Kluyveromyces lactis: one gene and its partners. The main gene of each other region encodes a partner of the protein of the gene in region 2 in a complex. Links are inferred from orthologs where the notes say so. Each region holds a gene or a part of one and is shown on either strand. Other genes may lie near its edges.

Region 1 (8,281 bases), on a different chromosome or scaffold from region 2:
GGTAAACCACCAAAGCGCTTCTACGAGAGTTTGATCGATTTTTGTACTGACGACAAAGAGAAGAGTAAGCTAGAAAACTTAGTTTCTGCTGCCGGTGCTACTGAATTAAAACGCTTACAAGATGTCGAGTACTATACTTATGCCGATATCTTCGAGTTATTCCCATCAGCCAGACCATCGGTTGAAGATCTTGTGAAAATAATTGCCCCATTGAAGAGAAGAGAATACTCTATCGCATCTTCTCAAAGAATCCACCCTAACGAAGTCCATTTATTGATTGTCGTTGTGGACTGGATTGATAATAAGGGAAGAAAGAGATATGGTCAAGCTTCAAAATTCATTTCTGATTTAGCTATCGGTTCTGAACTTGTTGTATCTGTGAAACCAAGTGTTATGAAGTTGCCACCATCTCCAAAGCAACCAGTTATTATGAGTGGTTTAGGTACTGGTTTAGCACCTTTCAAGGCTATCGTAGAAGAAAAATTGTGGCAAAGACAACAAGGTTATGAAATCGGTGAAGTCTATTTGTATTTGGGTTCTAGACACAAGAGAGAAGAATATTTATACGGTGAATTATGGGAAGCTTATAAGGATGCTGGAATTATCACTCACATCGGTGCCGCTTTCTCCAGAGATCAACCTGAAAAGATTTACATCCAAGATCGTATCAAAGAAAACTTGCCAGAGTTGAAGACTGCAATGATTGACAATGAAGGTTCCTTCTACTTATGTGGTCCAACGTGGCCTGTTCCTGATATCACTCAAGCTCTACAAGATATTATTGCTGCAGATGCGAAGGAGAAGGGCATCAACGTTGACTTGGATGCTGCCATTGAAGACTTAAAGGAAACTTCTAGATATATCCTAGAAGTTTACTGATTTTTTTATGTGTTTCGTTGAATACTGTTTATTATTTATCAATCTATTTATTTTGGTATATGAGAATCATTACATAACACTAACTACTGATGTACCATCTTGGAACCTAGTTCTAAACACCCGGTTAGCGTTAGTGAACATACCTTCTTTCAACGATACAACGATAAATTGGGAGCCTTTAAACCTGGTTTTAATAAGATGACCAATGTTCTGAGTATGACTTAAATCTAATGCGGCATCCACTTCATCCAATATATACATTGGTGCAGGTTTGAACTGCAACAATGCAAGGATCAATGATAACGCAATTAGGGAACGCTGTCCACCAGAGAGTTCTACCAGACTCTCTTTCCAAATTTTACCTAATTTAACTTTAACTTCTAATCCCTCGGTTACATCTTTACCTTCTGAAGGTTCCAATTTGGCGAATGAATTCGGGAGAAGATCGCCAAAAATATTTCCGAAATCTACACTGACTTTCTCCCATGTTTTTATTAAAGTTTCTCGTTTGTATTCGTTAAGCTTTTCGATAGTTTCCTGAATTTTCTGCTTATCTTTTTCAATGGTTTTAATCATTGTTTTCAATGCCGTTTCCTTTTTCTCTACACTCTCAATCATACTCATTACCTCTGGGTTCACCTTCCTTCTTAAGCTCTGAAAGCTTTCGGCTAAATCGGAACCACGTTTCTTGTACTGATCTAGATTAATGTTCTTATTCTGTGTCAAGATGCTATTGACCATGGAAGTATCTTCCAACCAATCATTTTCGTTGATTAAATTTTCAATGGCTTGATCGATGCCAAAAGTGTTATTCTTGTATTTATGCAAGTCGTTTGTAATCTTCTGTAAATCCACTTCCGAAGTTGAAAGTAGATGGTTCTTATTTTTAAGCAATAACTCTAGTTCTGATATCTCATCTTCCATTCCTGAAAGTCTGGACATTTCCTCTTGTAAAATACTGTGTACTTCGTGAAGTTCAGACTTTTTGGTCCTCACAACGCCCTCGTACTCATTACACGTTGTTTCCAGTTCTGCAAGCCTTTTCTCTGCAATTGATACTTCATTTTGGGCGTTAGAAATATCTGTGTGTAGCTGTTCTGTGTCAAAACTCAAGTTCTGATATTCATCAAACAGCTTAGCCGTATCAGTGTCTAATTTTTCCACTTCTGCAGAGACTTCAGAGAGATTAGCTTCTAACTGCCTGAGCTTTGAACCCTTGTCTTTATTGAATTCTTCCATATCTCTTTGAATGTTTATTATCTCAGTTTCGTATTCTTTGGTCAATGATGTCAACTGACATATGTGCATTTCACAGTTTTTCAATTGAGTTAGAATTTCTTCATTACGGTTAAATAGCTGCATTGCGTTGCTAGCATGTGCATTCTTCTCAGCTAACTTAAGCTTATGTGTGGCTAAATTCAATTCGGATAACACATTTTTTGAGTTTTCAGCTTTCATTTGCTGGTCTTTGATTTGTGAGCCGACTTCCTGCAAATCGTTCTCAACTTGTTTGAGCCTCGATGATGCATGATTATATTTCTGAATATCAAGTAGTAGTGAATTTGAAGAATTCCTACTTCCTCCTGAAAGTGTTCCTTCAGGATCATAGACATCACCTTGTAATGTTATGCTTCTAGATCTGATTCTTGGATTAAATGTAATTTGTTTGGCAGTCTCAGCGTCTCTGCAAATGAAACTTGTTCCAAAAATGAATTCCATGGCTCTCGTGACTTCTTCCTCAAATCCAATCAAGTTTATAGCTAATTCCACTTTTCCAGGAGCTAATTCTTTTGCTAAATGCAAGATGGACTCGTTGATTCTTCGTGACGAAATTTTGTTAAGAGGAATGATTGTTACACGTTTGCGTAACCTACCATGTTCCAAAAGTTGTGAAGCAGTTCTTTCGTTATCTACCACAACATTGAAAAGTCTTCCACCTGCACAAACCTGCAAAGCTGCAGAGCTATCAATGTTTGCTTCGTCAAGGGTAAACAATTGTCCGACAACTCCCTTAACAGACGAGACATCAAAATTCTTTGAAGGTGGAACATAGTTGAAGTCCAAGTTTGAGACCTTCCTATGCAAGGATTCTGTTTCCTGGCTCAATTGATAGTGTGTATGTTTTAAGGAACGCTCATTATCCTTTAGATTTTTCAATAGTATTGGATCATAACCATACTGTTCAAGTTGTTTTTCGAGATTATTACAATGATGTTGCATGTTTTGTATTTCTTTATCGTATTTTTCCTTTTCAGCCTTGGCAGCAGAAATTTTGGGAGTATTTGAATTGAGCTCTTCTTTAAGCATTTCCACTTCCATTTCCTTCTCCCTTATTTCAATTCTAGTGTTTTGTAACTTCTCTTTGATGGTGGATAGTTGAAAATTATATCCATTTGCAGTGGTACCGGTAGACGAGATACCAGTCGTTAGAGTTGAGAGTAGTTCTTGCTTTTCTTTATGAATGGCTTTCAGTTCCTCAAGTTTCTTGTTTTGAATATTGTACTCTTTATATTTCGAGTCATATAGAGTTTTCTTTTCCTGATGCTGTTGTTTCCACCTCTCAATATTTTTCTTCAAGTTACTGATCCTTACCTTTTCCTCGCCCGAATCTTCTAATGCGATATTCAAACTTGTTTGCACCCTTGAAAGCTCATTTGAAATTTCAGATTCTTTAGTTTCCAATTCCGACATTCTACCACCTAACTGAACCTCCTTATGCCGCTGTTCTTTTAGAGCGTCTAAATCACTTCCCAAGTTCTCGACTTCGTTCTTTAACCTAGAAATTGTATCCTCCAACTCTTCGAGTCTACTTTGACCAGAATGTAAACTTTCTTCTATATGTTTCTTTTTATTTGAGAGTTGACTGAATTCAAATGCATTTACCACTCTCATCACATTTTCTAAATCAGATTGAGTCTCTTGAAATTCTAAATACGTTCTCTTTTCATTCCTGAATCTCTCGAGTTTTGGTTCAATTTCTTCAGTCAAAAGAGTTCTAATTTCTTGTAATTTGGTCTCCTTCTTAGCCATAGTTCTTTCTGCCTTTTCCCGTCGATCTTCGAACATCCTTGTTCCAGCGGCTTCTTCTATTAACGAAAGAATCTCCTGCGGCTTCATGTTCAAAACCTTGGTAATTTTACCTTGCATGATCAAAAAGTTCGGGTTATTAATATTCAATTGCACCGATTGAAACAACTGAAGCACGGTTTGTTGCTGGGCCCTATGACCATTGATCAGATATTTACTGACTCCGCCGAGTATGATTTGTCTAGTGATTGAGATTTTCGCATGCGATTCAAATCCAATTGGTGAATTACTGGTATCGCTATTATTAAATACGATGGTAACACTGGCCTTCGTTACCCCAGCCTGACCTCTCTTGTAGATCAAATCCTGTAAATTTTGAGCACGAACGGTTGCCATTGATGAAATACCCAACACAAAACATATCGCATCTAAAATATTCGATTTACCTGACCCGTTTAAACCAGTGATGGCGTTGAATTGAGGATCCCAATCTGTAATGACAGTTCTTGTGGCGTATGACTTGAACCCATCGATGATAAGTTCTTCCACTTTCATTGTGATATCACCGGGTTATCTAAAGCAGCAGATATGTAACCTCACAGCAAGCGTTGACAGGGTTGGATTCACTTTTTTGACTCGCCTTTGTGTTTGTTTTGTTGATCTCATCAGGTCTTTTGTTTACATATTTCAAATCTTTATTTATGTTGAAATTCTCATAATCAAATCTGCATAAAATAATGAGGGAAGACAGACAAAGGCAAAACATACATTGCAGAGACGATGGGGATCTTAGTGCTCAAAAATAGCCTGTGATAATATGACGAAAGGATGAAATGATTAAAAAACGGTATGTAGAAGTAGTTTACTAATAATTATATTGAAATTTGAAGCTTTGTATACTATTGGAATCCACATCGTTCTTCAGACACAGATTTGAAATGACATTTAATAAAATTATTTTTATACAACAATAAACCTAAACATATGGAGATTGTTTAAATCTAATCTTGAGTCTTTTGAGAACCACGTAACAAACCAGTTCTTCTGGCAGCGATCAAACCAGCCTTTTGACCAGAAACAGCACCTCTGGAGATGGTAGAAGCCTTACCAATATGTTGATGGTTACCACCACCGTGAGGGTGATCAACAGGGTTCATGGCAACACCACGAGTCTTTGGCCAAGAGTTTCTCTTGACTCTGTACTTGTGGAAAGCACGACCAGCCTTCAACAATGGCTTGTCGATTCTACCACCACCGGCAACAACACCAATGACACCTCTGGCATCAGAAGAAATGATCTTCTTAGCACCAGATGGTAATCTAACTCTGGTCTTGTTGTCTTCTGGGTTGTGACCAATAACGATAACGTAGTTACCGGAAGCTCTGGCCAAAGCACCTCTGTCACCTGGTCTTTCTTCGACGTTAGAGATGATAGTACCTTCTGGGACGGAACCCAATGGCAAAACGTTACCAACGTTCAAAGAAGCCTTCTTACCAGCGTAAATGAATTGACCGGTGTGGAGACCTTCGTTGGCAATGAAGGTTTCTTCACGCAACTTGTACTTGTATGGGTCACGGAAGACAACCTTAGCCAAAGGAGCACCTCTACCAGCATCGTGGACGATTTGCTTAACAACACCACGAATGTAACCGTGACGTTCAGCGTAATCCAAGTTTCTCAACTTGGCAGCACCTTGTCTCAATCTGGTGTGAGAGGTGAAGATAGAACCAGCACCCTTTCTTTGGTTTCTAATAACTCTACCTGTTTTGAAACTGACAATCGACAATGGATATGCAAAATGCTCATGCCATTGTTGAAAGATAATTCTTGTTAGTATAACTGAAAAATTCTTATTATAATTGTTGAAAAAACATCTGAACCACATCTGAATCGACACTCATTATAATTCCAGATCTATCATTGATCCCATGCCAGCTATTGTCGTTTCTTCCTCTGCTCTCTGTATCGTTTAAATCTCTTTTTCCCAATGATATTGACGTAATAATTCCCAATCATCTTCTTTGGTAGATTTAACACATATATTGCATATCGCTAACAGTAATTCAATCATCAACTCTCAAAACATATCATATTCGCTCTTTGCATTGTTTAATTATGGCCGGTGTGTGCCTGGTTAACATTATTCTATATTTCATTATTCGTTCTTAAAATGATGGCCATTTCTTTAATTCAGTGCTTTCAAATCCTCATAACTCTATGTCACCGTAATAGACATACCCATTGTTTACTTCGGTTTGGTTGGACAGTATCAGTGCAATAAGAATAAAGTGTAACACAAAATACTATTGCAAAGCAGTATTACCATATAGTTTCAATGAATGATCTTTAATTCTTTCTTCAATAACTATACCTACAATATTGAAAATTCACCATTTGCCAGAATTGGTCCATGTACTGGAACCGAAGGGGCTGGGCAGAAACTCTGGTCCCAGCCTAGGCATTGGTTCTGTGAATCTGAATTCCAGCCTGGAGGGAGAGTTTCCTGGGCAGGACTAGGAAAGCCGGACAGAGAGACTCTGTGTCTCAGCTCCCCCTGGCAGAACGGCTCAGTCTTAGAGGAAAGGAATATCGGCAGGGGGACGTCTGCCCAGGACACCCAGCCTTACCACAATTGGACTGCCTTGTGTAAGTTTTTCTGAAAAAGTTTATGTGTATTACCTTAAACAGTAATAATGTATAACCAAATTCCAAAAATATATAAAATACATTGAGGTACGGATGTAAGGTGGAACAGTCACATAATCTGTTATTGTGTACTTGCTGATGTTGAATGTGTCACTAATGAATTTATTGACTGATTGACTGATCGCCCGATGACTGTTTTGTTGCATTTTACGTAGAAAAGCATGTTGTTTATGAAACCATAGTTATATAATTGATAGAAGTAGTAATGCTAGTAGTATGTGTATTAGGCTGCGACCTGTTCTACAGGTTGTTGAGATTCTAATTGAGACTCTGCATTTGAATTAAGTAATGGATTGTCCTGCGATGCTGTCACACCATCTTCCTGGTCGATAAGCGGTTCGGCATTGGCCTCGGGCTCCACCACAGCACCGTCATTACCGTCAGCTTGTGGTTGAGGATTTCCCTCGATAGGAATTGCCGCAACAGCATTAGCTGTATCAGGTTCATCTCCTGTTACCCCAGCATCTGCTGGGATTTCGTTGTTGCCTTCCGCGGACTCTCCATTAGTGTTAGCACCCGCCTTCTTCTCTAAAGCCCTTTGCACTTCTTCAATCTTTTCTATAAATGCGTTCTTCACGTTTATCTGTTTGCCCCTAAATTTCTCTTGTGTTGCAAACTGTTTCGCATCGTTTAGCCTGAAGGCATCGGGGAACGTTACCAAGGCTGCTGTGAAATGGCGATGGAAAGTGAACCCACGTCTATAAGTTCTATTTTTAAATACAACAATTTCTTGTGGATCAAATCCTTTGAAATATTCACGTAGCTGATTATCAGTCGTATTACGAGGAATGAATCCAATGAATGCAATGGTCTCGGAAACAGGTTTTTCTGTTATCACAGTGGTAACGTTCCCAACGTCAGAACTTTCAGAATTAACTGGATCAACCGTCACTATCGGATTGGCATCGGCATTGGCACCGGCATTGGCATCAGCCGCACCAGCAACAGCTTCTGAAACTTCCGTCTCATTGTTACCAGTTTCTTGAACATTTTCAGTAGAAGCTTCAGGAATATCTGCTTCAACAGCTGGCTCCTCTCTCTTTTTTCTTCTAAATGGAGTCAACCTGTGCTTCCTAGATTTCAATTGTTTAACAAGAGGTTGTTGTTCCAGCGCGGATGCCACTTCTGGTGCTTCCGCAGGAGTATCTGAGGAGGCGGATGGATCAGCACCTGCAGTAGAGGAAGCAACCACAGCCACTGATGATTTTCTAACGATTTGAACCTTATTAGAATCAATTGGAATATGCATTCTTAAATTCAAATGCCTTTCCATGAACAATTTCCCATTCAATTCTTGAATAACCTTATTTGCATCTTCTTCATTGGAAAATTCAGCATATGCAATCCCAAATGGACGCACTGCTTTATTCTTCAAGCCTCTCACAGTTTGACTTGGGATCAATACAGAAATGACATTGTAGTCTTGCAAATATTCATATAATTGATTCTCACTTGCTTCGAAACTCAAGTTCGAAATGTATACCCTTGCGTGCGACGACATTGATGTGATGTTAATTTTTTACAACTTCGCTTGGCTGTTTCCTGTTGAAACTCTTCCAAATCTTCTATATGATGTGAACTTAAGCTCCACAAGTACGCCCTTTCGACTGTTGCCTATACTATCAAGCGATGTATTGGGAATTCAAGAAGGCCTTTGACTTTGTGTTC
Region 2 (8,347 bases):
GAGCCCTCCTATTTAATTCTATTCTTCTCATGTAGATATTATCTATTATTTATTTTTTGTATCGTAATCTGTTTATATTTAATTGTATCATCAAAGCATTCACAGTTCTAGCTTGGTATCGGACTACTTCTCATTCCCTAGCACTAACGAGTTTGAATCCTTCCTCCAGAACTTCCTGAACCTTCTCGGATTTTGTCGGTAGCTGGTTTAACACGAAAGCAATATCATCCCATTGTTTCTGGTTTTCAGCTTTAGTGAGCCTGCCCAGCAATTTCTCACTGAGTTGCTTTTGGTGACGCTCTTTGTCAATAAACGTTAGAAGGTATTTTATGATCACTTTGAAGGAGTCCTTGTTCAAATTCTCGTCGTTGGATAGACCACTGAAAATATCAATAAATCCATTATAGATAGCATTATCCTTGGTTGATAATTCTGTGAAGAAGAGTTTGCACATATCACTTATACTTTGATCTGAGTTGTCCAAGAGAATAGCCATTTGGGCTAATTGTCCTTTGACCTTCACTTGCCCAGCTAAAATTAAAAATGTCACAGTCATCAAACAAGTTTTCTGAACCATGAGGTTTTCATCATGTAAACGGCGGTACAAAAAATCTGTATTTTCATCAACCAGATTATTGAAGCAAACAGCCATATCACCAAGCCCTAGAACAGCATTTGATCTAATAATAGGATCGGGTGATCTCTCCATAATTGTAATTAGAAGCGATAAATATTTCTCGCAGAACCTAGATGAGACGCACATCATTTTTGTCAAACACAAAACAGCATTTCTCTGGAGATACTTATCATTAAATTTATCATAGTTTGTAACAATCTCCTCCACCAATGGACCATATTTAGAGAGTAAGGAATTGGGATCAAATAATAGCTCGTTTTCCTTAATATATTGAATCGCATCTGAGAAATCATCTTCGTTAGTACCTCCGATGAGATCCAATTCCTTTTGTTGTTCTGTGGTATTTCCAACAGAAGCATCAGGATCAGAATTATTGTTTTCATTAGCTGCCGATTTCAGTGTTTCGAATTGTATCTTGGATTTTTTGAATTTTGCTTCACTCTTTTCTAGAAATACTATTACCTTAATGCACACTTGTCCCACAATGAATAATAACTGACAAAGAGAAGCAAGTCTAGACTCAACAATTGCTTGGGATCTTGAATGCTCAATATTCTTATTACGAAGCTCGCCAAAAGTTATCATAGTCTTTTCCTTTATTAAGGTATTGCAAATAATATCGGGTCTTTCGGAAATTTCGAAAATTGCGTTAATTGCATGCTCACACATTGAGTAGTAATCATGGTCATCAGTTGATGAAATGACGAGATTGTGAAGGTTCTTCAATACTTCCTCCTGGTGTGGAATTTCAGTGTGATCAGGTGCCACCATTCTTTGCAGAACGATGCAAGTCATTTTGATTATTGGTAGATTGCCATGATCGAATCCAACCTTTAAAATGAAAGGGAGGCCGTGTAATCCAACTTCATTATCAGCAAGAGCCAACATTCCTAGCACAGTTATTGCACCATGGATTTGAGAAGAGGAAAATTCTGTTGTGCCGATCCGCCCTCCAGTTAACAGACTTTGGAATATCAACCAGAGCGCATTGATATCATTATAATCAATCAATTTGCTGTCATGTATTAATCCTATTAGTCTTTCTAGTGAGGCAAGGTCTGATATGGATGCATCGAGTGTCAACTTAATTAAGTTGTTAGCTATGAATGCGGACCTTTCTTTATAGTTAAAATGGTCAGGAGTGGTAAGAAATAGCTGTTTATAACAAGAAACTAAATGATCCGCAATGTTCGTTCCTTCATCATTAGAGTTTTTGAACCAAACCAAATGTAACATTTTCTTGACACCAATATAACTCAATTCCAAGTCGAAAGCATCACATAATACAAGAAAATCCATCGTTTCTAGTACTTCAGACTTATTCCGAGAAAATAGCAAAGGCACACAGAGTTCGATAGCGTTATGCAACGAGTCAATAAAAGAGATGGCATCTTTATAATATTGGCGAGTTAGTTTCACTTTTTCGTCGTCAGGGTCGAAATTCTGTGATTCTAGATCTTGCAGTCTTTGCTTCCAATCACGTAACTTTAATTGACTCCCGTGCATCTGATCATATGGATGTGTTAATAACAACTGTGATAACAATTTCACAGCATTTCTTCTCACCAATGATGATTTATCTTGCAAAGATCGTACCGCCAAGGAAGTAATTAACAGTCTATGGTAGTTAAATTTAATTTTGAGGTCACATATTTTCACACATGATTGAATAGCTTTACACCTGACATAAGGGTTCGAATCTTGGAATCTCTCTTCAAGCAGTTCAATTAAAGTGTCATTTTGCTGTTTATAATGTTGGTATAGATCAGGGTCAGATGCAATGTCTATAACAATATTTCCGCATGCTTCGACCACTGAACAACGCAATGTAAATGACGAGTTATTCAACAATCTTATAATTGACGTCATTTGCCTCAGCACAATTCTGGGGGATAACTCAGATATCTTGATTAAAAAGTTAGATATAGATTTTGGTCCGGACAAATCTTTCGCGTTAAACTCCTTGTTACTAATATTCCTCAAGATGTCCTCGGTAAGTTGAGGATAGTCGAACTCATCATTGATATAGGTCAATAGTTCTGCGTTAAAATTTGTAAGTTGAGGAAAATAAGTTAGATTGGCCATAATGAAGTTTTGTACTAGTTGCGATTGGTTGTCATTTTTCACAAATATAGCTATGGTTCTAATTATCATGGTGGTGATTTGATTTATCTTGATTAGCGATTCACATTCGACTAACGTGAAAAGCGGTTTCAAGAAAAGACCAATGAATAGATCTCTTTCCAACAAGGTTCCGAAAAGTTTCGGTAGCTGTGGTATCTGTGCAAGTTTTATGATACTAGGTAGCAATATTTCGAGTAATGAGGAGTATAGCTTTGTTTCTTCTTTCTTCTGTTGCTGCTGTTGCTGAGTTCGATTTAACAAATCATCTTGAATGAAAATCAACAAAACATGTACCAGGTATCCAAGTTTTTGTAGGTTGATCTTCCATGAGAGCAATACCTCTTCATCGACTTGAAAGTTAGATTGGATCAGCGCTGATAAGTTTGATAGGCACGAGGACACCAAATATACCAGTTGTTGTTTCACATTATAGTTCAAATGTAGATACGAGTGAGTCAAATCTGTTAGTGTCTCAAAGATTTCATCTGCTATTTCATACTCTGAATTTAAAGCTAAAACATCCGTTACCTGATTGAGAGTGGAACCAGGTGCTTCAAGGGCTCCGTATGATGATTTATCTGTGGATTGGAACGAGGAAAGATACTCCGTGAGCTGAAAATTTGACATTTTTAGAGGATACAACTTGAACGATTTAGACCATGAAGTATTTAGTTGATTCTCTTTAAGTATCTCGGAGATCAAAACAGATGGTAATGAATCTAAAGGGAGTAAGAAAAACTACCGATGAGCACCTTCATTTGTAAGGTCTACGTGATTAATTGCAATTGTTACTGTTGATTTTAAAATTCAAGTCTGAAAACGTAAACAAATGCAGAACACGGGAACTGCTAATGTTTAAAAAACAAAAAAAATTAAAAAAACAAATGATTTCGCCCAGGATCGAACTGGGGACGTTCTGCGTGTTAAGCAGATGCCATAACCGACTAGACCACGAAACCACCTTATTGGAAACATGTCGAAATGAGTGTAGCCATATTTGTCTAGGGCTGAAATGCACTAGGCCAAGTTGTTCACCGGAGGAAAGATATTGCAAAGAGTAGTTATCTACGCATTGGTGCGTCTACAAGCCAATTGCTCAGTAGTCGTTTGAAAGTAAATAGCTTGACATGGCTCAGCTCCGAAATAAGCAGCTGAACTTGAACAGATTTTCTAGTGTTTGGAAGTCAGTTTTATTATATTTGTAATACTACGAAGCAGATACAAGAAATTCCAAAAAAAAAGAACAGCATATAAGACAAAGCATAAAATGCCACTTAATCGAAAAAAAAAGGTTAAACAAGAAGACTGGTACGTTCATTAAAACAATTTATGGTCCCACGGGTGATTGCGAAATGTTTCAAACGGTTTCGGTTTCAGAAATGATTTCAGCTGTTTCTGGAAATAGCACCGCATGCTGGTTATGCCGTGATGATGAGGGGTTCGGTCCTATATCGTACTTCGGAGACTTTACCATTTGCTTTATTGACGGTGTACTATTGAATTTTGCAGCGTTGTTCATGCTAATATTTGGTACCTATCAGTTAGTTAAATTGAGTAAAGCTGAGCATCCAGGGGTGAAATACAAACATGATTGGTTGTTGCTCTCAAGAATCGGGTTAGTTGGGTGTTTCTTGTTATTCACTTCAATGTCCGCTTACTATTCTAGCGAAAAACATGAAAGTGTAACACTAACTTCCCAATATACATTAACTCTCTTATCCATATTTGTAGCGTTAATGTTACATTGGGTGGAGTACCACAGATCAAGGATTTCTAACGGGGTAGTTCTCTTCTATTGGTTGTTCGAAAGTTTATTTCAAGGATCCAAATGGATTAACTTCAGTATCAGACATGCTTACGGTGATGAACATGAATTGCCCGTGTCATATTCCGTGTACATTTTAACTGTGTTCCAGACCATCTCTGCTGTGATGATTTTACTATTGGAATCATTATTCGAAAAGCCATTGCCTTCTTATCAGAGAGTCATAGAATCCTATTCTAAGCAAAAACGTAATCCAGTGGACTCAGCCCATATATTCCAAAGATTAAGTTTCAGTTGGATGACAGAATTGATGAAAACAGGTTACAAGAAATATTTGACTGAGAAGGATTTATACAAGTTGCCAAAAAGTTTCGGCTCAAAAGAAATCTCCGAGAAATTCGGCGAGCGCTGGCAGTATCAATTGAAACACAAGGCCAATCCATCTTTATCTTGGGCGATGTTAACTACGTTTGGTGGTAAATTACTCTTAGGTGGTACTTTCAAAGTTGCTTATGATATTTTACAATTCACCCAACCTCAATTGTTAAGAATTTTGATCAAGTTCGTTTCAGATTATACTTCCACACCTGAGCCAGAACTTCCTTTAGTCAAAGGTGTCATGTTATCTTTGGCTATGTTCTTTGTAAGTGTAGTTCAAACGTCCATTTTGCATCAATACTTCTTGAACGCTTTCGATACGGGGATGAATATCAAGAGTGGTTTGACATCTGTAATCTATCAAAAGGCCCTTGTTCTATCAAATGAAGCATCGGCTTCTTCATCTACCGGTGATATTGTTAATTTAATGAGTGTTGATGTTCAAAGATTACAGGATTTAACTCAATGGGGCCAAATTATTTGGTCCGGCCCATTCCAAATTGTGTTGTGTTTGGTTTCTCTATACAAGCTTTTAGGTCCATGCATGTGGGTTGGTGTTATCATTATGATTGTCATGATCCCTATAAATTCTGTTATTGTGAGGATACAAAAAAAATTGCAGAAAATTCAAATGAAGAACAAAGATGAAAGAACTAGAGTCACTTCCGAAATCTTGAACAATATTAAGTCCTTGAAAGTTTACGGGTGGGAAATCCCATACAAGGCCAAATTGGATCATGTCAGGAACGAGAAAGAATTGAAGAACTTGAAGAAAATGGGATGTACATTAGCATTGGCTAATTTCCAGTTCAATATCGTGCCTTTCCTTGTGTCATGTTCTACCTTTGCTGTTTTCGTATACACGGAGGAAAGACCATTATCCACTGATCTAGTCTTCCCTGCATTAACTCTTTTCAATTTATTGTCATTCCCTCTTGCTGTTGTTCCTAATGCAATCTCTTCATTTATTGAAGCATCTGTGTCCATAAATAGACTCTTTGCATTTTTGACTAACGAAGAGTTGCAAAATGATGCCGTTTTACGTGAACCAAAAGTAAAGAATATTGGTGACGAAGGTGTTAAAGTCAACGATGCAACTTTCTTATGGCAACGCAAACCTGAATATAAAGTTGCCTTGAAAAACATAAATTTTGTTGCCAAGAAAGGTGAACTAACATGTATCGTGGGGAAAGTGGGTAGTGGTAAGAGTGCACTTATTCAAAGTCTACTAGGAGATTTGATTAGAGTGAAGGGTTTCGCAACTGTTCACGGTGACGTCGCCAACGTTTCACAGGTTCCATGGATTATGAATGGTACTGTTAAAGATAATATCTTGTTTGGTCACAAGTATGATCCAGAATTTTACCAGCTGACTATAAAAGCGTGTGCTTTGAGTATTGATCTCTCTATGTTGCCAGATGGTGACCAGACTTTAGTTGGTGAAAAAGGTATTTCTTTATCTGGTGGCCAAAAAGCAAGACTATCGTTAGCCCGTGCCGTTTATTCTCGTGCTGATACTTACTTATTGGACGATCCTCTCGCTGCTGTAGATGAGCATGTCGCTAAACATTTGATTGAACACGTTTTGGGTCCACACGGTTTGTTGCATTCCAAAACAAAGGTGTTAGCAACAAATAAAATTACTGTTCTCTCCATTGCGGACTCCATTACTCTCATGGAAAACGGCGAAATCATTCAGCAGGGAAGTTATGATCAAGTTAATGAGTCAACAAACTCTCCACTATCGAAGCTTATTGCCGAGTTTGGGAAGAAGGGTAAACCAACTCCTTCCCAATCTACTACTTCCTTGGCAAAATTAGCGTCGGAAGGAATTGAATCTTATTCAGACTCAAAGATCTCTGAAATTACCGTAGATATAAATCAGTTGGACACCGAAAACTTATCTGAAGCTGAAGACCTAAAATCTCTAAGAAGAGCTTCTTTGGCAACCTTAGGCTCAATTGGTTTTGATGACAATGAAAATAGCGCCAGAAGAGAACACAGGGAACAAGGTAAAGTCAAATGGGATATTTATATGGAGTACGCCCGTGCGTGTAACCCCCGCAACGTGTGTGTGTTTTTGGGTTTCCTAATCCTCTCGATGCTGTTGGCCGTCATTGGTAATTTCTGGCTCAAACACTGGTCAGAAGTCAATACTGAGAAAGGCTATAACCCCCATGCCACAAGATATTTGATGATTTACTTAGCTTTAGGTGTTGGTTCCGCTCTGGCAACATTAATACAGACTATTGTTCTATGGGTATTCTGTACTATCCATGGCTCCAAGTATTTACATGATGCAATGGCTTCAAGTGTTTTAAAGGCACCTATGTCTTTCTTTGAAACAACTCCTATTGGAAGAATTCTAAACAGGTTTTCGAATGATATTTATAAGGTAGATGAAATTTTGGGTAGAACGTTTGCTCAATTCTTTGCAAATGTTGTTAAGGTCTCTTTCACCATCGTTGTTATTTGCATGGCAACTTGGCAATTTATCTTTATTGTGTTACCATTGAGTGTATTGTACATCTATTATCAACAGTACTACTTGAGAACCTCAAGAGAATTGCGTCGGTTGGATTCTGTTACTAGGTCACCCATTTATGCGCACTTCCAAGAGACCTTAGGGGGGTTGACTACCATCCGTGGGTATTCTCAACAGAACCGCTTTGTACATATCAACCAAACCAGAGTTGACAATAATATGAGCGCATTCTATCCTAGTGTCAATGCTAACCGTTGGTTGGCATTTAGACTTGAATTTATCGGATCCGTGATCATATTGGCTGCATCTATGTTGGCTGTTATTAGACTTGGTAATGGAACTCTAACTGCTGGTATGATTGGTCTATCATTGAGTTTTGCTTTGCAAATCACTCAATCGTTGAATTGGATTGTCAGAATGACTGTGGAAGTAGAAACTAATATTGTTAGTGTTGAAAGAATCAAAGAGTATGCAGAATTGAAGAGCGAAGCACCATATATTATTAAAGACCATAGGCCACCAGCATCATGGCCAGAATCAGGTGAAATAAAGTTTGTGAACTACAGTACCCGTTACAGACCAGAACTAGAATTGATTTTGAAGGACATTGATTTACATATTCACCCAAAGGAGAAAATTGGTATTGTTGGTAGAACAGGTGCTGGAAAGTCATCTTTGACACTTGCCCTTTTCAGAATTATCGAGGCAGCTTCTGGTCATATTGTGATCGATGGTATCCCAATTGATTCTATAGGTTTGGCTGATTTGAGACATGGATTGTCGATTATCCCGCAGGATTCTCAAATCTTTGAAGGCACAGTGAGAGAAAACATCGATCCTACTAATCGGTATACCGATGAAGAAATTTGGAATGCATTGGCTTTATCACACTTGAAGGATCACATACTGGGTATGGGATCTAATGGTTTGGAGACCATGCTTACTGAAGGTGGTAGTA
Region 3 (8,452 bases), on a different chromosome or scaffold from region 2:
ATAACACTTTTAAAATTAACCACTCAATTTGGGTATTCTGTACAAGTTGCAACATAACCATTGTAGTGGGGTTCTTCAAACAGGTCAAATGCAGATACAGAAAGATGGTCGGTGAAATGTTCAATCAATGGTGTAATGCTAGGAGTCCGTATCCAATGACGTTTTAGTTCTGCGTCTGATCATGCTTTAATCAGTACCGGAATTTTTGATTTATCACCGCCGATTTCCTTACGATCATCGCTGTCTGGTCCTTCAACCACCGTAGTAGTGGCCATTTTCATTTTATTGATAGGTTCTCCTTTGCATACCTTCTGAATTTCGGTACTATCTAATGTTTCGTATTCCATTAATCCTTGAGCTAATCTATGCAATTCCTTTTCCCTTTCTGCTAATAAGGCTCTCGTCCTATCTTCTGAAGCTTTCAAAAGTTCAAGTACTTCGTTATCAGCAACGTCACGAATTTTTCCAGACCATGAGTCCCACTTATCAGCCAAATTTACTGGTCCGACTTGTTCACTCATACCGTACTGAGTAACCATTGCTCTAGCAGTGTTGGTAGCATTTTGTAAATCCGAACCACAACCACTGGTAGTATTTTCCTTACCATAAATCAGTTCTTCTGCAATCTTACCACCCATGCACACATCTAACCTAGCTAGACATTCTTTCTTAGTGATGTCCACCTTATCCATTTCAGGAAGTTGGAAAGTGATACCTAATGCCCTGCCTCTTGGCAAGATAGTTGCTTTGTATAATGGCGTTGCCCCGGCAGTGTACAGTGCCATCAATGCATGCCCGGCTTCATGATAAGCGGTGGCTCTTTTAGTAGCTTCAGTGAGAACCATAGTTTTCCTTTCAGCACCCATCAAGATTTTATCCTTTGCCCATTCAAAGTGCTGCATATCGACAGCAATAGCATTTTTCTGACAAGCGTATACGGCGGCTTGGTTAACTAAATTCATCAACTCAGCACCAGAAAGACCTGGGGTTCCTCTTGCAATGATAGTTGGGTCCACATCAGGAGCAACAGTAACCTTCTTCATATGATGTCTCAAAATGTCAGCACGCCCGCGAACATCAGGTAAGTCAACATTGACGACCTTATCGAATCTACCTGGTCTTGTCAAAGCCTTATCCAATGATTCTGGGAAGTTAGTGGCACCGATGATAATTATACCGCTTGTTTGGGAAAACCCATCCAATTCAACCAACAATTGATTCAAAGTTTGTTTTGCGTAAGCTTGATCTTTGGGATTACGCTTACCTCCAATAGCATCCAATTCATCGATAAAGATAATAGCAGGGGCACGAGCGCGGGCCTGTGCAAACAACTCTCTGATACGCTTGGCACCAACACCTACATAAACTTCGTCAAACTCTGACCCTGACATGAAGAAAAAGTCAACACCAGCTTCACCGGCGGTGGCTCTTGCCAATAAAGTCTTACCAGTACCTGGAGGTCCGGTCAATAGAACACCTTTAGGTAACTTACCACCCAAGGATTCGTATTTGGTAGGATCTTTTAAGAAATCGACAATTTCCTCCAATTCAGCTCTAGCTTCGTCACAACCCCGCACGTCATCAAATCTTACATTAGTCTTTGCAACATCCACAGATTTATCGGCGACTTCATTTGTCTTGAAGAGGGTTGAATGTTCTGTAATGTATTTGAAACCTTCAGTCAAACCGTATGTAACTGCACCAAATACGATCAACCATTTTAACCATCTGGAAACAATAGAGAATGTGGATTCAGTGACAACAACATGTAGAGGTTCCTTTTTGGATCCCATGTACGGATTATAGATGCCAGAATAACCAGATGAAACACCTCCAGTAACTTGGGCAGCAGCACCGTTAGCCGATGCAGCGGAAGAAGCACCAGATGAAGCCACGGCAGGAGGAATACTTCCAGCTGGAGCAGTCGTCAACAAAGTCTGCCTCACAGACTCAGCATCAGCGTGCCTACCGATCCTTTGTAAAGCTTCCATATACAAAGCCATACATTCAGGCGATGAAGTAATACCAGGAGTTTCAAATCTCGAAACAACGTATTGCGGATAGTTCGATTTCAAGAGAAGTTTATAGAACTCCGCTTGCGCACTTGGGTTAGACAAATCTTTATTAGCTTGCTGTTCCTTAGTAGCCAAAACAGCGTGTGATACAGGTCCATTTGCCGGATCAATATCACTCGAATTAATCCCGTTTAGTTGCTTGGGCTGCTGAACATTTTCTGCACCACTTGTTGCCCCATTTACAGTGTTCTTCGAGTCCTCCGAATGCTGAGAACCTGTAACACCATTATGATCCTTGCCTGTTTGGTTCTTGTCCGAATATAATCTGTTTTGTAGCACGCTGCCTGTAAGAAAATGCTTTCTATGCAAAGTCCTTAAAATTGGCCCTGTCAAGACAGGGGCTTGACGAATCAACACTCGAGAAGCGTTCTTGGCGCACAAACCAGAAACACCAATCAACACCGGAAGCGTCATCTAGCCTTTAACACTTAATAAGTACACCGTAAAAGTGATTTTTTCAAAGTACCTGAGCTGGTATATACAACTTTTTCGTTGCTTCCTTTGTTCACTATTCTTAAAAGCCTTTTGCCTCTTTCGTTGCCTTCTAAATGACCCGAATAATCATAGCCATATATATCCTCATTCTAAAGAAAATAAAAACCTTTAAATTTGACAAATGCTCAATTTACTCAAATTTCAACATTATCAACAAATTCTTGGAAGCTGATGAACGCTCGTCCGGGTGGCGTTGCATTTCATTAGGGAGAAACTCTACGTAACAGCTGAAATCCGATTCGAAAGTGCCAGAAAAATAAAAAGGAACGAGGTCTTTTTAGACGAACATCACGTGATCAATACTCTTCTATATACAAACAAAATAATTACGTCGGCTATAGTTCGGCTACTCCTTGCCAATAATTGCGTCTGCAATCTTTTCAGGGAACCGAATGTCCAAGTCTTGGTAGTTTGTAGTGTCGTTAATCGTAAATCCATACTCATTAGCGAGGTGAAGAAGGCAGATAAAGCAGAAACTGGTTGAGAGATCCTTTTTGGCACTTGAAGTGTACATGTTCACGATATCGTGAGCGATATCGGTGAATTTCAAGTCATAGCCCTCTGCTTTTGTTGATATTTCTGCTGATATATCCTGCTTTCCCTGCTTCTCTTCGGTCAGATGTGCTTCTGATTCGATATCATTCTGAGTAGTTTCCTCATTCCGAGTAGTTTCCCCATTTTGTTCGTCTGTCTTCAGTACATGTAAACGTTGCCATATTGACTTCCACACATTATTCTTCAATTTTCTCACATCTACCTTTTTGGAGGTTCTGGAGTAGGTCATTTTATTATTTGCAACTAATCCTTGCGTGTTTACGAAATCTTCTTTTGTATCCATATCCAAATCTTCATCTTCGAAGGCTTGGTTGAAGTCAATGCCGTTATCCTCTTCAAACGATGGATTGGTTGATCTTTCTATCTGTGTGTCATCTTGCTTGTGCTCTTCTTCCCTTTCATGCAGTTGATAGTTTTCAGCCCAAAAGCGTTCGTCTGCAATCTCCGGAATATTACTCACTTCTTTGATTTCGGTATCATCAAATTTCAGGGACCCAGGTAACCTGGCTTTACTGATCCTCCTGTGTGAAAAGAAACTCATCTTCTGCTCGGGCTTAATGAAGAGCCTTGTGATTTTATCCGTTGTGAATTTATAGTCGTCCGGTAGTAAGAAATGTGAATCATTTGTTCTTTGTTTCACTGATAGATCAATGAACCCCTTTTTATTTGCAAATATTTCTTCTTCAATGTTATCATTCAGATCCAAGAAATCAATCTCAAACTGTTTTTTGGGTACCTTCTTTTCAACTGCTGGTTCATGATTCCCATCGGCTTCAGTTGGCTGCTGTGGTTTGGCCACAGACTCCTTGCTAAGTTTATCCTTGATGTTTCGTACCTTCCAGTGTTCTCTACCCCTCCAATTCTGACCTATCGCTGCGTCAAAGTAAGATAGTAACTCTTGATCGAGTACGCTCGCATCGCCATACGATTTGTCATCTATTTGTGACATATTCTGTTGATTTGATAGGGCCAGCTGTTCTTCTGGTTCGTGAATGTTATCCGCTGGCTCAACGTAGTCCATAGAACCTGCATCAACAGCAACATCCTCACCATCCTCTGGTGGCATTTCGTAGTTGAACTCTGCCTCCGCATCGAGTTCAGGAAGGGTCTCTAGATCTTTTTCTGTCAAGAATTTATCAGATTGGCCATTCACTCCTTCAACAAATGACTTTGCTTTTCCAATATCCGCTACTGCACTTTGGAGCTGATCCATCGATGGACACAATATTGAGGTTTCAATAGTATTAAAATCTAAGAATTTGACACCGAGATCTAATATATCATCCTCTAGCAATGTGACTGATGTATCTGGGGTTGATTCTACATTTTCCTCATTTGCTGAACCCTTTTCTGAATCCAAGCCAAATACCTCCGAGGTCTCTTTTGCTGATTCGCTGACTTCATTATTTTCTTCCTGAACTTGACTTTCAGTAGAGGCCAATGGTTGCGGTTGTTCTTGTTCAGGTTCAGTCGTTGTTGCGTCAAAAACAACTCGGAGTTTTTCATCAACATGTAACGTGTTTATAAGTAAGCTCTTCGCACCACCCTCATCAAAATCGGCGAGTGCCTTCTTGAACAACGGATCTATACTTAGGTTTTGTGCTAAATCTTTCAGTCGTATACTTTCAAAATCAACTAACGTCGTTTCTAACACTCTATTGTACGTCCTTTTTTTTTTCGCGAGAGTCTCTGGGTCATCACGGGCAATCGGCAGACCAGTTAAAGGATCTACCTCTAGACTGTCATCATCTTCCTCATCTCCATCATCGTTCTCTCCGTTTGTATTGGATCTAATTTGCCTCCCTTTCCGTTCTGCCAATCCACTTAGTAACTTCCCTGTTTCAGTAGCGACGGAATCGACTCTATGAGAGTAGATTTTCACACAACCGTCTAACGTCGCCGAAGCCTTCTGGAAATTAATATTATCCTCCTCATCTTTCAACACGTTCAAGTCATGAAAATAGTCAATTAATGCGAAATTCCAACTGTTTCTTGAGTTGATTTTGTTGTCCGTGGCCATTTTGATCCATTCTTCAAAGTTAGCCATCATAGTGGACTTATTCGTGAAAAGACCGTTGTCATCATCGTCATACGGTAATTGGGTAGTCATTGCTACTCCTGAAAACCTAACCAAGGTAGCTTTGATAAAGCAGCTGAATAATGCTCACAATTATCCCGTTTCCTGACTTGCCTCTGTTTTCCTGAACAGCTTTAAATGGATCTGAATACTGCGTCCCGATCCTTCAATGTTTACAAAACATCAAATAAACGTAAACATCAAATCGTGATTAGTGACTAAGTTTCCACGTGAGAAGCAGCTGCATAAAGCCTTGGTTTGAACACTTTAGGAGCATCTCAAGCGTTTCCCATGATCACATCTAATGCATCTGATTCGATTTTTGGTAAGTATAGTCATTAATGTTTGCAATCACTTCCTGGTCTACATGACTTCTTCACTTTTATTTCAACATGTCAAGATATTAGCTAGAACTTTAAAATTTGTTTCTTACATTTAAAATATCACATTAAAACATTACTAACTAGCTAGATAAATATCTACTTAATTGAAAGTTCAACAGTTAAGCTATTAAACAGAGGAAGACAAAGGGGAATTAGAGTGAATTTAAATACACCAGGCATTCTGTTCAAATTCTCTTTAATTCGCAATATTATTACTTGATAAGTTATCAATTAGTGTGAAAAGCGATGACATGATGATAGTTTGAGCTAGCTTTATCATGCAAAGGAGGTTAATTTCTACCAAAAAATATTTCTACTGACATAAAAATATTAAGTGTTGAGTTGATTTTAGATCTCGGTAACTTCCAATTCTTCAGCCTCAGCCTTTTCGTTCCATTCGGCAGCCTTGATGGCCATTCTGTGGTGTTTATCGAGTGGTGGTTGTCTCTTAACATTCTTTCTTCTTAGGAGGTTTTCTTGAATGTTAGGCCACAATTCCAATAGTTGATACTTGGCTCTAACCCTTAATGGTACATCAAACACTTCATCCAATTCTTCCAAAGTCAATTGCTTTGTTTCAGGCATGAAGAAGTAGACTAAGAACCAACCGATGACGTTCCAAGCAGCATAGAAACCGAAGGCACCTTGAGGCTCGAAGGCACGTAGCATACTTGGCCAAGTTAAAGATAGAATGAAGTTGAAACCCCACAAGACAATGGTGAAAAGAGATGCACCAATGGCACGGACGTACAAGGGGAAAACTTCACCAGCGATAACGAATGGAACCACACCACAACCGAAAGAGTAAATGGCAGAGAATACGTAAATACCCATCGAAACAACACCGATTCTTTTTTCTGTATCATCGATCCAGAAAGAAAACCCTGTAATCAAAAGGAATACTGCCAACCATGGGAACGTGTTTAATAGAAGGAATCTTCTTCCAAATCTGTCGATCATGAAGAAGGCAGGAATAGCAAAGAAGAAGTTAATTAAACCGAAGCCTAGGGAAGCACACAATGAAGAAATTTCAGTGAAACCTGATTGCAAGAAAATGGCAGAGGAATAGTACGCAATAACATTAATTGCACAGAATTGCTGCATGAAGGCACAAATGAAGGCACAAATCAAGGCGTTTCTGTTTCTTCTAACAGTGAAGATTTCCCTTAATCTAGTCCAGTAAGACATTTCCAAAGAGTTTTCTTCCATCAACAAAACGTGTTGATAGAAAAGATCACGACAAGCTAGGATCTTGTGATTTCTAATCTGGAGGGTGGATTCATAAGCTTCCTTGTAACGACCTTTACCCATTAACCAACGGGGAGATTCAGGACAGAATGGGATTTGCACTAAAACTAAAATAGCAGGAATCATAGCACTGGCTAACATTAATCTCCAATTCAACCCACCGGCAATACCAGCTCTTCCAACTCTGTAAAAGATCAAAGAGAAAACGTAACCCCACATGATACCGAAAGCAGTGAAAGTTTGCCAGTTCATACAGATGATACCACGTAACTTTTTGGTAGAACATTCAGCCAAGTAAACGGAAGTCGTAGCACTCTTAGGACCGATACCAAAACCCAACAAAAATCTCATGGCAAACAAATAGTGCCACCCTGGAGTACCAGCTGGACCGAAAGCTTGTAAGAAACAGGTGATAGCAGAGATAGCACAAGTGATGAAAATAACCTTTTTACGACCAAACATATTGTTCAACCAATCGGTAGCCCAACACGAGACACCAGCACAACATAGATAAGGTGCACCGTTAACAAGACCTTCCAACCAATCGTCCCTCTTGGATCCTGACCCTAAACCCAATTCTTTAGGGTAGAACAAGTTAGCACCATTGATAACAGTTTCATCCATACCTTGCACGGCAGCACCCATTGCACTGGCAGCGATAATAGCAATCAACTTTGGAGGGACTCTCCAAGGATGATGAATTTCATCGTAACAAGCAATACGTTCATCTTCCTTTAGAACATTTAACCTGTCGTATTCGTTTGGTTTTCTGGCCAAAGCAGCACCACGAGCGAAAATATCATCATCATTTGGCAACTCGTACTTCTTAGCAAAAGCACGTCCCATGTTCATAACCTGCTCTTCTGAATATTCAGCCAATATATTTTCTTCTTGCACACTATTCGGATCCCTTCCTTCTGGATCTTCACCAATACTAGAAATGGAACTGTCATCGTTCATCGCAACGAAAACACCACCACCGGCAGATTTCCTCTTTGCCTCATGAAAGCTGGTCACTTCTGCATTCGACAGATCAGCACTCTTCTTGGTAGATGAGTTAACATCCTCAACTGAAGGACTACTCTTAACCTCTTTATTATCCATGACTATTTTGATACTAACAATCTTTCTCTATCTGTTCAATAATATTCTGCTTCAAGACCTCTTCACGTAAATCGGTTAATGGCCTTTGTACAAGTTTTTCTAAGACAAATTCAGGAAAAACAAAACAACTTTATAATGCAAAAACTATATGAGGATAAACCCTCTCAAAACTATTATAGGTTTTTGGTTGTTATGAACCTTTTTTATATGGGAGGAAGATCATGGAAAAATATTTGACGTAAAAGTATTAACAGCCATGACAACACGATCTTTGAGAAAAGTATATACTTCAGAGCCTACTTATATATACTGTCTTTCAATTCAGGTTCTCCGTGAAGCCGTGTAAATAACATAGCTAACGTTGACGGAAGTAATCCAGTTTTCATTTTGCAGTGGTGTTAAGCGCTACCGGCTACTAACAGGGACTAATAATAGTCTCCAACGCAAAAATGAATCAAAAAAAATTCAATCACTATTTGCTTGCAGTAGCGAGACGATCCAAGCAAAAGCCAGAG
Region 4 (8,464 bases), about 120 kb from region 2:
GATAGAAACCCCTCATTCGAGAGTTATGTTGGCCCCTTCCACGCTTATTGCTGTAATATTCTTCATACAGGAAGCAAAAGTTTCACTTCAGAAAGTTAAACAAAAGGGAAAGTTTAACAGTTCTTCCAATGCAATCGAAATTCCTCCTTACTTCGAGACATTATCAGTCAACATTCTTTCCAATAAACTATGTCTCGGTTGGATCTTCGAGGAAGATACCGATGAAAATGGGATAGTAATTGGATACGAAAGCTTGTTCGCTGCGTACGAGAAACCTTACGGAAAACTTACTATTGTCGATGGGTATGTGGCTACGGCACAAGGGAAGGAATCCAATAACTTCTTTTTTGCAAATGGCGTTCCAGAACTGAACCGAAGCCATTTGTCCAGCATGCAGATAAATTTTTGGTTTTCTGGTCAATTCATAGAAAAAGACTTGTTTGTTCGAATGAACGCAGACAAGCTAGATGTCAGAATACTGACAACTTCGGTAGAAATTGTAAACGTTATGAGGTCTTCAATAGAGAGCTTTCAAAAGAAGCTGGCAAAAATCAGTAATATTAAGAAAAGTTCGATATCAACACATAATGTGGCTGAGAATTTAAGTGACAAAGTCTCAATCCTTTCAATTCGTTCAATAAATTGTATTGCCAAATATGGAGGTGGTATAATAAATCTTTACACTCCCGATGATATTGCACAAGATTCTCCCAAATCGTCGCTAGAGCTCACTAGTCCATCAATAGAAGTTTCCTTGGACTATATGCACAACTTCCCTTCGCAGAAGCAGCATTGGATCAGAAGTCTAGTAAATGTTGAATCAACTCACAACATTTTGTTTTCATCCTGCGTTCCAGTTTTAGTAAATCTCACAACAGAAATCCAGAAACAGATGGAAAGATTTAACTCTGAAAAGAAGCAATTGGTCCATAAAACTCAAGAACAGACAACTAATACTCAGCGCATTTCTTTCGACTACAAAAATTTATTCAAAAAAATTGACACAGCGATAGTGATAAACGTTGGAGCTCAAAATATCACATTGACATGTGAGCCAAGAGCAAAAATTCAAGCAGACCTAGGCTTCAGTAACTTCAGAATCTCGATGTTTACCGACTCACCAGATCATTCCGAACCGCTGTCTCTATCACTACAATGGTCAGAAATTGAAATCAGTACCAGACATATTTTTTCTCGTGAAATCAGTTCTTCAGCGGGTATAAATGAAGTATATCTTGATTTTATGTTAACACACGAAAACACCATCAAAACATATGGAAATACTCTGATATCCGACATGAAATTTTACGTTAATATGAAACAGTTGCAAGAGATCACTTTATTTCTTGACATATGGTCTCCAAAGACTAAAAAAGCTCAGAAACTAGGATCTGGACCACACTCTGGGCAAAAATGCCAACCTCAAGCTCTGACCGAATTCACAACTCCTAAAATTCCGTGGATTTACCAAATAATCTTCAAAAACACTTCAGCTGTAATTGATATGGATCCATCGCTAGGTTCAATTAATTTCAAAGTGCCTACATTTTGGATATCGTCTCACCACAGAGTTGATTGGTCTCACTCTGTCAGCTTTTATCTGGATGAATTAAACTCGAAGTCTGATGGTCGTTTAGGTGGATTGTTTGAAATTAAAAACATATTTTTTGACTCTAGTATAAGCTGGCCGGTTAAAGACAATAAATTCGAGGCGCCTTTGATAAATTTAGCCTTCAAAATGAGCCACCTGTCTTCAAAAATTGGATTCGATTACCACTCTTTTTTAATCGCTCGTGTGTCGGATTTGCAATTAGCTATTCGTAACGAGAGGGATGAAAGTGGATTATTGAAAGATTTGTTAATTGTATCCATGTCATTTGGATCCGTTAATATTTTCTTAACGGCTTTGGCTTCTGCTAATCTCTACGATATCTATGCAACATTTGCCAGAATGAGGATCGAAAATAAAAAGTCTTACGTACAGACCCTAAAGGAATCAAATCCTGAAAGTTCGGGAAAGATTCATTTCTCAAATAATGAATTACTGGCGCCACTTCGTTTAAGAACTAATTTGACTGCTGAAATAGGATCTTTCAGGCTATATGTTTTTCCAAGTACTTTATTTGATAGCGAAGTATTGGTGCTGAAGGCAAATAAAATGAATGTTGAAGCCGCAACTCAGACTGAGCAAAAAACGAAAACAGATCTAACATGGCAAATACGCGACATAAATATCAGTTTGGCTCAGTTTAAGAATGAGTTAACTGAAGAGCAGTTTGCTGAATTGAGCGTCGAAGAGTACAACAGACAAGCTGCTCTTTTAGAAGGAGACATAATTCTAGCGGCTCCCTCAGTATTTGTTGGAATTACCACTTGGCAGAAAATCCCTGACACAGACATTGAGTTCTTGTATTCCAGTAGTTTTGGGGATAAAGTCGATATCAAGTGGAATCTCGACCCAATTAACTTCATCAGGGAAATGTGGGCGACCCATGTACGTGCATTATCTGTAAGACGAGGTCACACTGAGCCATCTCCATCAAAGCCCTTTTTCGAAGACGAAAACATTGCTGAAAAGATCAAAATTGTGAATCTTGGCACAAAATATAAATATATTCCTTTGGAAGAGCCACACATCGAGATGCCACTTTTAAGGGATCTAGGAAATGCTACACCGCCTATTGAATGGTTTGGAGTTAACAGGAAAAGATTCCCTGGTATGGCACATCAATTGATAGTGGTTCCATTACAGAAGCTAATCTATGTTGCTGAAGATCAGTACAATCGTACATTAGGGGATAATTTAGGAACTATGTAAAATATCAATATTCTGTAGGGTTGTACTTTTAGTCATATTGTTGTTTTTATATATTCCCACTAAATTTTGAGCTAACTCAAACATGTTATTTCTTAGTGAGATAACAATAAATTGAGCATTTTTTGTTCGTTCTTTGATGTAATTAGCCACAATCGAGACATTCCGAAAATCTAAGGCAGCATCTATTTCATCCATAACATACAAGGGTGTAGGCTTGTACTTATGAAGAGCAAATACCAATGCTAGAGAGCTCAAAGTTTTCTCACCACCCGATAAATTGGAGATATTTCTCCAAGATTTTTTAGGTGGCATGACGCTGAATAATACACCCTCCGAAAAGGGATCAAGACTATCAACAAGTTCTAGCTCTGCATTGCCACCCATGGTAATCATCTGATACATTTCCTTTAGAGTCATAGATATGATGCCGAAACCTTCCATAAATTTCTCTAGTCTCTCATTCTTGAAACTTTCACACTTATTTCTTACTTCTTCCCTTTTGGCAACTGCTTGATTTAAGTCTAGTTTTCGACGTTGGTATTCTGCAAGCCTGCGTGCGTATTCCTCTAGTACTTCTATATCTCCGTTAAAGTTATCCAAGTAGTCTTGTAATTGATGAAGTTCAAGTTCTAGAGTTTCTAAATCGAGATTTTCCAACTCGGTTTCCGTCAAACTTGGTAACCCGCTGTGGGTTGCAGCTTCACCAGAATCTTCCATAGCGTCATTATTTCCGACATCTGTGATAGACTGCGTTTGAACTATGTCACCATTCATTACCTTAGCAGTTACATCTGTGCATGACTCAATTATTCCGTCATTCAATTGACTTAAAAGTTTGGAAACGTCTCTGATTTTAAGACTTTGTAGTGAGGTTTCATAACTTCTCAGCTGTTTTTTAACATACTCTTGTAGCCCATGCAACTTCTCTAATCTATCTGAGTACTCTAATTCTTTTGCTTTAAACTCATTGGAATCTCTTTCAATAGAAAGAAGCTCTTGTTTCAATTTCTCCACGCTAGAGTTCAACTCTGCTTTTCTTTCATTGTTTTCGATTACTTGTTCTTCAATTCTTTCCTTTTCCAGTCGAATTGATTCCAATTGTTCGGAAAGTATTGAAATATCCTTATTACAGACTAGAACTTCTTCCGAATATTTGTTCTTTTCCCTAGTCGCTCTAGCCAGATCAATGTCAAGCTTCTTACTTCTGGTCTTCTCCTTTTTCTGCTTTTCATGTAAAATTTCAATGTGTTGTTCAAGTGAGGCAACTTTTGCGATTTGCATCTTGAGCTCAATTCCTCCTTTCTGCATGATTCTATCCTTGAGATCATCAATCTTATCTTGGCTAAACTTTGAAGCATCAATTGTTTGCTGCAAATGTTGTCTCAAAATATCTAGTTTCTTCTCTTCATCCAACAGTGGCTGTTGATTCTTCTCGTTCATAGAAAGTTCCCTAGCAAGCTGTGATAGTCGTTGGTGATAGGATTCCACCTCAGCGACCCGAGATCCTTTCTCAAGTTGTATTTTGGAAATCTGAATATCAATCTCCGGAAGACGATCTGTTAACTTTTGTAATGCAGATTCCATCTCATGGACCATCGATAGAGCTGACCTATAATTAGTTTCTTTGGTTGAAAGTTGTACTTCCATTTTCTCCACTTCATCGCGAGAATATTGACTTGCCGTAGTAGCTTTTGATCTCATTAAGCCACTTTGGGGAGAAGAACCCCCTCCTGACATTGTACCGGAAATATCGATTAATTTCCCATCCAACGTGACCACTCTGAACCTTCTTTTCCCGTAGGCTACTCGATTAGCTTGCTGTAAATCCCTGGCAACTAACGTATCTCTGAGAACTGAGTAGAATGCAGGTCGGAATAAATCACGGACAGGGGTTATAAGATCAAAAAGCCTAGGTACATTTTCAGGAGTGGCTATTCTGTCCAAATTGCATTTACGTAATTTATCCAAGAGAATGAAACGCCCATACCCTAACTTATTTTTCCTCAAGTGATCTATACATTGCTGCCCGCATTCCACAGTTTCTACAACTATATCGTCTAACCTGGGACAAGCGGTTGATATAGCAATATCGTATTGATCATCAATCGTGCCTAAATCTCCCAACCTCCCGTGAAAGCCGGTTATACGTCCTGAATTCTGCAATTTTGTAAGAGCAAGTAGGACTCTATTTTTGTTTTGGAACCCATTGAGGTTAGCTTTGGCTTCTTCAACAATCTGTCGTTGTTGAATCAAAACATCTCGCATTTCATTCGTTTGTTTTTGGGCTTCTTCACACTCCTTTTGAGCAGTGGATATCCTGGCCTCGACCTTGGATTTTTCGTTTCGTAAAGAAGTTTCTGTCTCTTTCTGTTTCAGCTCTTCAAGTTGCAGATCTTCTATCTTACTTTCAATGGTAGCTTTTTCTTTCAGCAAATTACTGTGACTGGATTTCAACATTGTGATCTTTGTTTCTGAAAGTTTAATTTCAGATTGTTTTTCCTGTATCTGATCCCTAAAAGGTTCTAACTGTCTTTCCAAGGATTCCATCTCCTGCGATAGATCTTTGGTTTTTTCATGCAAATGAATTTTGATTTCATTAAGTTTTTCCTTCTCAATACTGATAGAGTGATTGAGATTGTGAAGTTCTATTTCACAATCATCATGATTCTTTTTTAACGACTCAATTTCATTGACTGCTGCTTTACCGTTGGATTCCGATTGGGAGAATGCCTTCTCCGCAGCCTTTAATTTTCTTGCAATACTTTTAAGTTTTTCATCTGTGGCAATAAAATCCTTTTCTAAAGAACGTTTTTTTGAATTCACGTTTTTAGATTCAGTTTCTAATGCGGTGCTTTCTTTCTTGGTATTGTTTATTTCATGTGTCAGGGTTTCAGCTTCCTTTTGTAAATGTTCATATTGACTCTTTTCCTCTTGAAATTCCATGTTCAACGCAGATATTTTATCACAGCTCGTTGCCAATTTACGGTTACTGTCATAAATTTGGCGCTGAAGTAGTTGAGCCTTTAATATAGTATGTTTTCTCTCTTTGTCAAGAAATTCCAGTGCTTCTTCTTTGCCAGATTCAAGATTCTGCTTCTCTTTATCTACCAATTCGAACCTATTTTCTTTCTCCATGCAAACCTCATTCAAAGTTTCTATCTCTTCTAGACACTTCTCGATTTGCGGTTTGAATTTAGCTGTGCCAATTATATCTTCCAAATATTCCAAAAGTCCATCATCGTTGTCCTTTTCAGCCTTGGCCTTCATCTGGGCAATCGATTCCACTTCACCTTGAAGAATCAAGAATCTTTTATGGTCCAAATCAATTCCTTCCTCTTTTAAAAGTCTTGTTACTTCAGTATAATTACTCTCTTTCCCGTTAACATAGTACTTTGAAGAGTTGTTTTTGAATGCTCTTCTTTCAACCACCATTGTACCAGCCGATGGAAGAATCTTGGTTTCACCATTATCTGTATCATGAACGTAATGAAAATGAATTTGGACAGAACAGGATGCCAGACTCGGGAACTGCTCAGATTTGTGAATTAACTCGGAGAGTTTCCCTTGCCTCATTTTATTGGCTCTAAAACCGAAGACAAAAAGCATTGAATCGATAACATTAGATTTTCCTGATCCATTAGGACCAACAACTGCAGAAAATGATGTGTGGAATGGTCCAATCTCTTGAATACCAGCATACGACTTGAAATTATTCAAAACCAATTTATCAATGCATAATCGCTGTGAGGTCTGAGTATTGGCCTCGTGCATCTTTTGTAATTCAAGTCGTGTACTTTTTTTGGGTGAAAGTCTGATCAATTCAAGCTTTCTTGTCGGAGATCTAGTAGGTGATCGCGTAGGAGACCTAGGCGGAGACTGACTGTATTCGCGCCCTCGTACAGCATGTGCCGTAGGAGGTTGCAGACTCGGTGGATCCATTGTATTAGAAGCGGCAGTAGTAGCCTGTGAATTAGAGACGGCATATTTTTTTTCAGGTGAGCCCAAAACCAACTTCCTTGGCGTCCTTGTTGGCGATTGTGATACTCTTTGCCTCTTTATTTCTGGTGAGTCTCCCAGATGCGGCACAGAACTGTCTGCAGTCATATCAATCAAGCTATAGTGCAGCTACAGGAGGCAACCAGAATAATAGCTTTACAGGTCGAGGTGCTCGTTGGCTGTGGTGGTTTGCCATCGCCATCGCCATCATGATAGAATATTAAAAGTTCTTTGGTTTACATCATGATTGTTTGGTAAACAAACAATCTTTTCAAAACATGAAATTTGAAAAATAACAAAAAGGAAATGAAGAAAAATTGTAGCACTACTACAGAAAAACACAGGCAATCTGCATGCGCGCTTCTTTGAATGTCCTGATGATTTGCCAAATTGGCTATATGGGATAATTTAATGGGAATAATATAATCATACATCTATTAAAATGAGTGAGCCTGTATTGGTGATCGATAACGGATCGTATGAAATCAAATTTGGTGAGAGTGGATGGGATCAGCCACTGCGAGCGTTAAACTGCTTAACCAAGGACAAATACTCTCGCTTCCACCTTTCAAATCAAACGAAGAAAATGCGGGATATATCGCAGGCTTTAATAAGAAGGCCTCACGAATTGGGTCAACTTGTATCATGGGAATTAGAAAGTGAAGTATGGGATTACTGTTTTTACAACGAGGACGACTTCCATTGGAACTTGACACACGACAATGACACTAAAGATCATCATTTAGTAGTAAGTGAGACGCTCATGACGATACCAGAGCTTTCGAAAAACATGGACCAGGTAATATTCGAAGAATATGATTTCAAATCTATGTTCAAAGGACCTGTAGCACAATATATTCCTTTTTACCAGGGTCAATATCAAGATGACGCAATGACCGCTGCTGAAGACAAGAAAACTAGTTCATACAAGGACTTCCAATTAGTTATAGACTCGGGGTTTAACTGCACATGGGCTGTTCCTATAATAAAGGGAGTACCGTATTACAAAGCTATCAAGAAACTCGACATCGGTGGCAGATTTTTAACAGGCCTATTACAGGAAACCATTTCGTTTAGGCATTACAATGTGATGGAAGAGACAATACTTGTAAATAACATCAAGGAGCAATGTACTTTTGTTCCCCCTGAATCATATTTTTCAAGTTTCCACAACAAAATGAACACAAAGGTCGAGTATGTACTACCGGACTTCCAAACGAGTTTCTTGGGGTACGTTAAGAAACCAGGTAAAGAAAAGCTCACGGATGATGCACAGACCTTATTACTCACAGATGAAGTCTTCTCGGTACCAGAAACGTTCTTTCATCCTGAAATTGCACAGATTTTAAAACCAGGAATCGTCGAAACAATTCTAGAATGCATCAACATGTGTCCCGAAGTCGTCAGACCATTACTTGTTGCCAATATAGTATGCACCGGAGGCAATTTTAACATTCCAAACTTCCACGAGCGATTACAAACAGAATTACAAAGACAATGTCCGATAGACTGGAGCTGCAAAGTACATTCACCCCAGGAAAAGGACAAATCTCTACACGGATGGGAAAGCATGAAAGACTTTGCCAACTCGGATCAGTTCCGCTCAGCAAGGGTCACAAGAGAAGAATATCTAGAACACGGGCTCGATTG

The links.
Region 1: YCS4 (region 2) and SMC2 share a complex: the UniProt entries of both Schizosaccharomyces pombe proteins name them as parts of the condensin complex. The link is inferred for Kluyveromyces lactis from reciprocal best matches to the Schizosaccharomyces pombe genes cnd1 and cut14.
Region 3: YCS4 (region 2) and BRN1 share a complex: the UniProt entries of both Schizosaccharomyces pombe proteins name them as parts of the condensin complex. The link is inferred for Kluyveromyces lactis from reciprocal best matches to the Schizosaccharomyces pombe genes cnd1 and cnd2.
Region 4: YCS4 (region 2) and SMC4 share a complex: the UniProt entries of both Schizosaccharomyces pombe proteins name them as parts of the condensin complex. The link is inferred for Kluyveromyces lactis from reciprocal best matches to the Schizosaccharomyces pombe genes cnd1 and cut3.

Annotation. Positions count from the first base shown.
Region 1 is NC_006040.1:1,345,544-1,353,824, forward strand, and holds SMC2 (condensin subunit SMC2), read right to left. Parts: upstream 4,462-8,281; coding exon 949-4,461; downstream 1-948. Other genes in the region: MET10 (sulfite reductase subunit alpha), read left to right, coding at 1-879; KLLA0_D16027g (60S ribosomal protein uL2), read right to left, coding at 4,908-5,668, 6,146-6,149; RRT5 (Rrt5p), read right to left, coding at 6,837-8,114. UniProt on the Schizosaccharomyces pombe protein: Central component of the condensin complex, a complex required for conversion of interphase chromatin into mitotic-like condense chromosomes.
Region 2 is NC_006042.1:1,869,103-1,877,449, reverse strand, and holds YCS4 (condensin subunit YCS4), read right to left. Parts: upstream 3,389-8,347; coding exon 131-3,388; downstream 1-130. Other genes in the region: ATP-binding cassette glutathione S-conjugate transporter YCF1, read left to right, coding at 4,114-8,347. UniProt on the Schizosaccharomyces pombe protein: Regulatory subunit of the condensin complex, a complex required for conversion of interphase chromatin into mitotic-like condense chromosomes.
Region 3 is NC_006041.1:607,008-615,459, forward strand, and holds BRN1 (condensin subunit BRN1), read right to left. Parts: upstream 5,236-8,452; coding exon 2,917-5,235; downstream 1-2,916. Other genes in the region: i-AAA protease YME1, read right to left, coding at 180-2,489; KLLA0_E06755g (sugar porter family MFS transporter), read right to left, coding at 5,934-7,937. UniProt on the Schizosaccharomyces pombe protein: Regulatory subunit of the condensin complex, a complex required for conversion of interphase chromatin into mitotic-like condense chromosomes.
Region 4 is NC_006042.1:1,756,569-1,765,032, reverse strand, and holds SMC4 (condensin subunit SMC4), read right to left. Parts: upstream 6,923-8,464; coding exon 2,804-6,922; downstream 1-2,803. Other genes in the region: CSF1 (Csf1p), read left to right, coding at 1-2,818; ARP6 (Arp6p), read left to right, coding at 7,257-8,464. UniProt on the Schizosaccharomyces pombe protein: Central component of the condensin complex, a complex required for conversion of interphase chromatin into mitotic-like condense chromosomes.